Linked DNA regions of Astyanax mexicanus. The protein of the gene in region 1 interacts with the protein of each later gene in a pairwise test. Links are inferred from orthologs where the notes say so. Each region holds a gene or a part of one and is shown in the gene's direction. Other genes may lie near its edges. The genes, in order: naif1 and sox14.

Evidence for each region.
Region 2: the proteins of naif1 (region 1) and sox14 interact in binary tests that used the Homo sapiens proteins (3 or more experiments, as listed by UniProt). The two-hybrid records come from large-scale screens. The link is inferred for Astyanax mexicanus from reciprocal best matches to the Homo sapiens genes NAIF1 and SOX14.

What each region holds. Positions count from the first base shown.
Region 1 is NC_064419.1:331,105-335,031, forward strand, and holds the start of naif1 (nuclear apoptosis-inducing factor 1), read left to right. Parts: upstream 1-1,313; 5' UTR 1,314-1,443; coding exon 1,444-1,894; intron 1,895-2,767; coding exon 2,768-2,815; intron 2,816-2,962; coding exon 2,963-3,432; 3' UTR 3,433-3,927. UniProt on the Homo sapiens protein: Induces apoptosis.
Region 2 is NC_064412.1:49,529,155-49,533,081, forward strand, and holds sox14 (transcription factor Sox-14), read left to right. Parts: upstream 1-855; 5' UTR 856-1,474; coding exon 1,475-2,269; 3' UTR 2,270-3,506; downstream 3,507-3,927. UniProt on the Homo sapiens protein: Acts as a negative regulator of transcription.

The sequences.
Region 1 (3,927 bases):
CTGTGCCAACTGTTAAACGATGGCACTGGTTACCTTTGTCTGGACTTTTCCTGAAATCAACAAGTGCTCAAGAACACCAGGGTGAAAATGCGGGAAAATATAATAAATACAAAACTATATATACTATAGTTTTCGCTTTAACAGCGTCAAGTCTTCTGAAAAAGTTGGGACAATAAACAATTAACATTTGTCATTCATTTTTTTGTTATTTAAATGTGGTTCCAAGCTATGGCAATTGAATTGTAATATATATATCCATTATATATAAGTCCAAAAAGTATACAGTTATACAAGTATGCCCATGTTTTGGGAGTTTGACAAGAATGTAACACCTAAAATAATTCTATTACATTTGTTGTTCTATGGCGCCACCATGTGGACGTTGTTTTTAAACTGCACTGTATGAAAAAAATGATAAACTGGAGGATTTTTAAAGTGTATTATTTCAATGTTAAAATATCCACATAAGGCCCCTTTATAGTGACAAAATAAATGATTATGCACAATGCAATTTTTGTTTTTCTTTTTATGGAAATATATGTATTGATATTTTTAAAAGAACACAAAATATGTCGTTCCAAATTATTATACAGAATACAGGTTTTTAAAACATTTATTGGGTCATAAAAACAATGTTAATAATGAACAAAAATGTAGCCAAATCTATATTCTCCCAGCTGGCATTTTAACGTTGAATCAACATTGATATTAATATCGAATCAACGTTGGATTTAAAAAGTGAATGACAGGGGTTCTAAACTGCTCTCAGCCCGGGACCCTCATTTTCTTATAGTCATTAAGTCCCAACCCACTTTTATAGAATACAAACAAAATTATTTATATAAAAACACATTATAACATACGTAGGCTAAGTGAATTTGTATTTAATGTATACAATTTACTACAATAAAATAAAATATAAAAAGCCACAAAATATTAAATATTTAAAAAATTAGATATTTCACTTCACTGTATTCAGAGAACATTAGTAGGAAAAATATATTTTTTTCTCTTTTTTCCCCCCAATATAAAAGATGAGTACAAAATCAGATGATCATTAATTATTGTTTTTAATTTTTGGATCCAGACCCTCTATCAGTACTGTTGTGTTATTATTATAATTATTGTGTTATTATGGTTATTGTGTTATTATGGTGCTTCGTCGCCTTGCGTAGTAAACCGCCGGAGTGTGTTAAGAGTGACGGGTTGTTCAGCCAATAGGGAGGGATCTCGTCACGCTCGCCAAACGCCACAGCCAATAACAAACCACGTTTCTAAAGTGGGCGGGCTTTCGGCCATTACGGACGCAAGCGTTGTTGTTGGAAGAAGAAGTCGATTCAGGAAGCCATTACGCTGCGCAGCTCCGCCGCGGAAAACACGTACTGTTTTTGCGTACGGTACGCACTTTTTTTACTTTCCTTAAGTCCTAATTAAAGATTATTAATGGCCTCTCAGGCGAAGAAGCGGAAGATGAACTTCTCGGAGCGCGAGGTGGAGATTATAGTGGAGGAGATGGAGAAGCAGAAGCACGTGCTGGTTAATCACTTTAACGCCGGCGTTTCTCACATCGCGAAAAACGGAGCCTGGCTCGAGATCCTGAAGCGCGTGAACGCCGTGACCAACTGCCAGCGCGAGCTCGCGGAGGTGAAGAAGAAGTGGTCGGATCTGAAGACGGAGGTCCGGCGGAAAGTGGCGCAGGCGCGCGCGGCCATGGAGGGCACGGAGGACTGCGGCACGGTGCCCGTGATCCTCACCGCCATGCAGCAGCGGATCTGTAACCTGCTCGGGGAGGCGACGATCATCAGCCTGCCCGCCGGAGAACCGGGAGACCCGCCGGCCGAGATGACCGTGCCCGTTCCCATCAGTTCCGCCGCCGCCGTCACTCTGACGCAAAGTAAGATAACAGCGTTACCGCGCGCGATTTAACCGAGACTGAAAAAAAAAAAACACAGAGCGTGACGTTATAACCCTGACATAGCTATATAACTATATATATGTGTATATATATATATATACTACTGCATCTAAAAAAATTATAATATAAAAATTATTTAATTAAAAAAAAGTTAACGTTACTTTATTTCAGTAATTCAGATCAAAATTCTAAATATGAAACTCATATATTATATAGATGTATTGTACATAATAGTCATCTATTTTAAGCGTTTATTTCTTTTATTGTTGATGATTATAATTATTATGGATTATAGCCAATAAAAAAAAAACCAAAACAGTGTTTCAGAAAGGAATTAGAATATTATAATATATATATTATGTATATTATAAGACCAATTAGTACTTTTTTCCAGTGTGGGCAGTGTGCCAAGTCCTGCTGGAAAATGAAATCCGCATCTCCATAAAAAAATTATTTATATATAATAAACGTTAGCAGAGAGAAGCATGAAGTGCTGTAAGCCATGTCATCTGCTGGTGTTGATCCACTGTGTTTTATTATCAAATCTTACAGCTTCCCTCTGCTGACAACAACTTCTTTTATGGAGATGAGGATTTCATTTTCCAGCAGGACTTGGCACACTGCACACACTGCCCACACTGGAAAAAAAAGTACCTGTAACTGGTCTTATAATATAATTATAGTATTCAAATTTTCTGAAACACTGATTTTTGTGTTTTTATTAATATTATTAATAATAATGATCTAAACAATAATAAAAAGAACAGAATTAGTAGTCATATAGCGTACTGGACTATATATAAAAACAATATCAATAGCATTAGTGTAGAGATGTTTTCTCTGTACCAACAGGTATCCAACCAGCAGCCGGAACAGCTTGTGAAATTAAAACATTAGACGGTAAGTCGTCTTTGTCATTTTTGCCAAATACTGCAAAACTGCAAATAAACAGGTTGGACTCTGGTTATAAAAACTGTTTAGATTAACTGGTTATCTTATTTTGTGTTTGTTGTTTGTGTGTTTCTGTGTTTCTGTGTTGGGGTTCAGCAGCTGAGACGACGTATCACACGCTGGAGGAGGGAATGGTGGAGTACTGCACCACGGAAACCCCCGTCACGGTCACCACAGAAGCCCCGGTGGAGATGCTGGCGGCTCAGGCAGATAACTCCGTAAAACCACAGGAGCTGAAGAGCCGCATCGCCCTGAACTCGGCCAAACTGCTGCAGGAGCAGCGCATCACCAACCTGCACGTCCGAGAGATCGCCCAGCACCTGGAGAACCAGAACGACCTGCTGCAGATGATCCGCCGCTCGCAGGAGGCGCAGGCCTGCGCCCAGGAGAGACAGGCCCAGGCGCTGGAGGGCACGCAGGCGGCGCTGCTGGCGCTGATTCAGATGTTCAGACCGGCACTGAAGGACCTGAGGAAGTTCCTGCAGAGCGCCAACAGTGCGGGAGCCGGAGTCGAGGCCGGAGAGGGAGGGGGGAACGTGACGCAGCAGCCGGATGACGGACAGTAGACTGGACTGAGTTCTCTGATGTAAATGAATGAATGAATTAATGGAGTGTGTTTGTGTTTGTTGGAGAATGCTTGAACCTGTAAGTTATTTTGTTCCTGAGAGAATGTGAGAGAGTGTGTGTGTAAATGTGTGTGAGAGTGTGTGAGAGTGTGTGTGAAAGTGTGTGTTAAGTTATGCAGGTAAATAGTGCCTCATCAGTCGAGTGCTCGTCTGTGTGTGGAGACTGAAGACTGTACGTGACTGCTGAAACCTGTAGCCAGGAGTCGGGCTTTTATTATAATTTTACATGCGTGGCCAGAATTAATTTCACACAAATCTGTCTGTACAGAAGAGCAATTGCATTTTATTATTATTGTTATTGTTATTTTTATATTGGAAATATGATAGTTTAGTTTATTTCACTATGTGGTGCTTTAAAAATCTCAATGTCTTTTGTTGAACAGAACATGTTATATTATATTTCAGAATGGCTTATGATATTACTCACTGAGAATA
Region 2 (3,927 bases), on another chromosome or scaffold:
AATAAATATTGTCCCGAGGGCTCTTTCTCAGACAGCGACCCCAGGGACTCTTCACTTCATTGCCTTATATATATGTTTGAAGACCGTTCTAATGGGGTTACAATTACATGTGATTTTAAAGAAATTTTAACACATCCGGCTGTAAATTCGTGGAGTAAATGCACAAGCGACATTTCATAGAAGTGCTGAAAATATGTGTAAAGACGTTAATAAAATAGGAATACAATAATAAAAAACAGTACTTTGAAATTATCAGCTGTCTCGATTTTTTTTAAACGGTACCAGTGCCTTTGTAAAAAAACGTGCAAATTATAAATTAAGAATCAATTATATATTTTTTTACTATTGTAAAAAAGTATAATGGTATAATACCATCTGGCAATAATACGAAAAATGCTTAAAACATATACATATACAAAAATTGGATGTATTTTTTCAGTATATAAATTAATATATATATATATATATATATATATTTTTTTTTTTTGTTTGTTTGTTTGTTTTTTTATTGCAACCAATTAATTAATCAATTAATATTAACACACATGCCGAAATTAAATCATCTGTCTAACAAATTTATTAACATCTGTTATTTTTTTAGATTTGTTGTTGTTGTTTTTATTTATTCATGCTGGGGAAATGTTTCAGGTGTGTGTCTGGGTGTGTATGCGCGTGAGGGCGCGGGCGGATCCCTCCCCTATCTTTATTTGCCTTGGTAATATCCCTATACATTTTTTTCTTTTCTTTTTTTATTTTTTTTTCCGAAGGTATTCTGCTTCCTGTTCTCTCCTTTGATTGGTCGCTTAAGTCTCCTGGCCCCGCCCCCTCCCCAACACCGTGCTCACACACCAAAGCGGCTTCGGCGCGTTTGAAGCTCCGCCGCGTTCTGGCGCTCATTCACAGCCAGGTGCTTCAGCGAGAGCAGGAAAAACACACACACTGAGATACACACACTCGCGCGCGCACACACACACATACTCACTCGTACACACACACGCTCGCGCGCGCGTTTAGAGTGGGGAGCTGTTTCACTTTTTCGGAGCTTCTTTTGCTGCTGTTGCCTCACCTGAGTGGATTTTTGGACTCTCTCTCCTTCTTTCTCTCTCTCTCTTTCTGTCACTCTCCCTCACTCTCTCTCTCTATTTTTCTCTCTTTCTATTTCTCCCTCTGTCTGAAGCTTAAGTGCAGAAGAAGAGGACGAGAACATAACTTTAAGCAACTTTTTTTTCTGAAAGTATTTCTCTGAAAGAACATTTCGGATGTTTGGTTCGGCACTCATGCTCTTTTTCTGAGCGCGTGAAGTGGCATGATCGCCGTCTTCATCTTCTGCCAACACGGCTGAACATTCACACACGCGCGCGTTGTTATATTCACCGTAATTATTACTAATTATTATTTGCACCGTTATTTGGGCGGGAGCCCGCGCTCCCCTGCCGCCACCTCATCCCCTGCCGCCGCCGACGCAGACATCACCATGTCCAAGCCGGTCGATCACATCAAGAGACCCATGAACGCGTTCATGGTGTGGTCGCGTGGGCAAAGAAGGAAGATGGCTCAGGAGAATCCGAAGATGCACAACTCTGAGATCAGCAAGCGGCTGGGCGCCGAGTGGAAGCTGCTCACGGAGTCCGAGAAACGGCCCTACATCGACGAGGCCAAGCGGCTCCGCGCGCAGCACATGAAGGAGCACCCGGACTACAAGTACAGGCCGAGGCGCAAGCCCAAAAACCTCCTGAAGAAGGAGCGCTACGTCTTCCCTCTGCCTTACCTGGCGGACGCCGAACACCTGAAGGCGGCACTTCCGGTACCCACCAGTGTCGCCGATCACGCTCTGGAGAAGGCGGCAGCGGCGCGAGCCTTCCTGCCCCCCTCAGCCGTCACATCGCCCTACTCACTCCTCGACCCCGGCCAGTTCGGCGCGAGCAGCATGAGCAAGCTGGCCGGCGACATGACCCCGTACGCCTTGAGCTCGCTCAGTTCCCTGCCCTACGCGTCCTCGCTCGGCTACCACCAGAGCACCGGCGCGTTCGCCAGCCACCAGGCGGCCCAGCAGACTCAGCAGCAGACGCAGCAGTCGCAGCACGCGGCAGGACCGCACGCCGCCACGCACACGCACCCGTCCCCGACCAACCCGGGCTACGTGGTGCCCTGCAATTGCGCGTGGTCCGCGGGAGGAGCGCTCCAGCCGCCGGTCGCCTACATCCTGTTTCCCGGTATGGGCAAGAGTGGGCTTGACCCCTACCCCTCTGCGCACGCCACGGCCATGTAGAGAAAACGGGTGGTAATATACGAGGTCATAAACATATAGCCTATTTATAAAAGAAGAGGAAACTGACAGTTTGTTCTTGACTAGAAGATGGGTATGCTGACAATTGTTAAAAAAAAAACAGTGGGAGAAATGACATTTTTATCCGTTAAAAAATTAAAGGAAGTTTCTTCTACAAAGCAAAGGGAAAAATTGCAACAACTGGAGGAGGAAAAAAAGACTTTTTTTCGTTTCTTCTCGAAAGGAGGAAAAACAACAATTTCTTCCAAAAACGAAAATGAAAACAATAAAAAGATTAAACGGACACTTTTCCGCCTCCCCAGAAACTTGAATGCAGTGGCATGTACATAAAACTGCTCCATTATTAAAATAAAAATAATAAATAATTAACAGAGACAGAAGCGAACTCAAAAACATTGACGGAGGTCTGATCGGACTGGAGAAAAATCTTGGAGTTCAGATTTTTTTTTGGTGTGTATATATATTATTTTTCGTTTTTTATTATCGTTTCCTCCAGGACGCTCCGGGACCTTCTGCATGGAGTTGAGAGAGCTGAGAGCAGGTGACTGTAAGAACTTTGTAAATGTTATTAACCTTTATTAACGGCTACCGAACAACAACGAGAGAAAAAAGAAAAACGCATAAAAAGGAGGCCTTTAGCTTTATTTATTATGTACATTTTGATGCTATTATAATAAGGATATTTTTGGTTTGTTTTTTCGACTATGATTAATATTATTGCTGTTATTTAAAAAAGGCGAATTTGGGTTTGCACAAGTAATGTTTAGCCTTCATGTCTCTCCATGTTTCTTCTTTAGATCTCTTCTGAACGATGTACTGATATTTTCTGAAATTTGGATCTAAATTAGGACATTTCTTTGAGTTTTAATGAAGATACGGGTTTATAGGCACACACGTGAGATTAGACAGGCTGTTGAAACTTCAAGTTGAAAAAAAATATTATTTCAGTATTTTTGTTTTTTGTTTTTATTTGATCTTGTGGTTCAGTGCTTGTCCCACGTTCATTTCATTTGAGAAAGAAGTGAAAGTCTGAAGCGAAGCAGTTAATGTCGTGCTCATTATTATTATGATTATTATTATTACAATGATGATTTTTTAAATCTTAATCTGATGTAATGTTATGGAAAAGGAAACTGTATCAGAAGGGGGATACCTCGATTCTTTGTTCATTTGCAGAGCAAAGACGTTTTGAATAAAGACAATCTGTCTTCAAAAATAATTTAATATCGTTTGGTATGTTGAACTTTTACGGGAGGTTAATATTTTGGTGACAAATTCATTCAAGAGCGAGTTTGGATACGTGTAAGGTTATAAATCGGCAAATTGTGCTAATACAACATAGTTCAATATACTCAAAGTAACTTATGTTTTAATATAAAAATGTTTTAAATAAAATTACGTCATCCAATTATTTCTTAAAATAATGGTATAAATGACAATTTGTCCATTCAGGCGGACTGTCAGCAGCAAAAGGATTAACAAAATTAAAATAATAATAATATAAATACTATACAACAACACATGCAATGACAACAACAATATTTAGTAATTTTGTCAACAACAACACAAATAATAATAATAATAATAATAATAATAATAATAACAATAATAATAATAACAGCATTATTATTATTATTGTT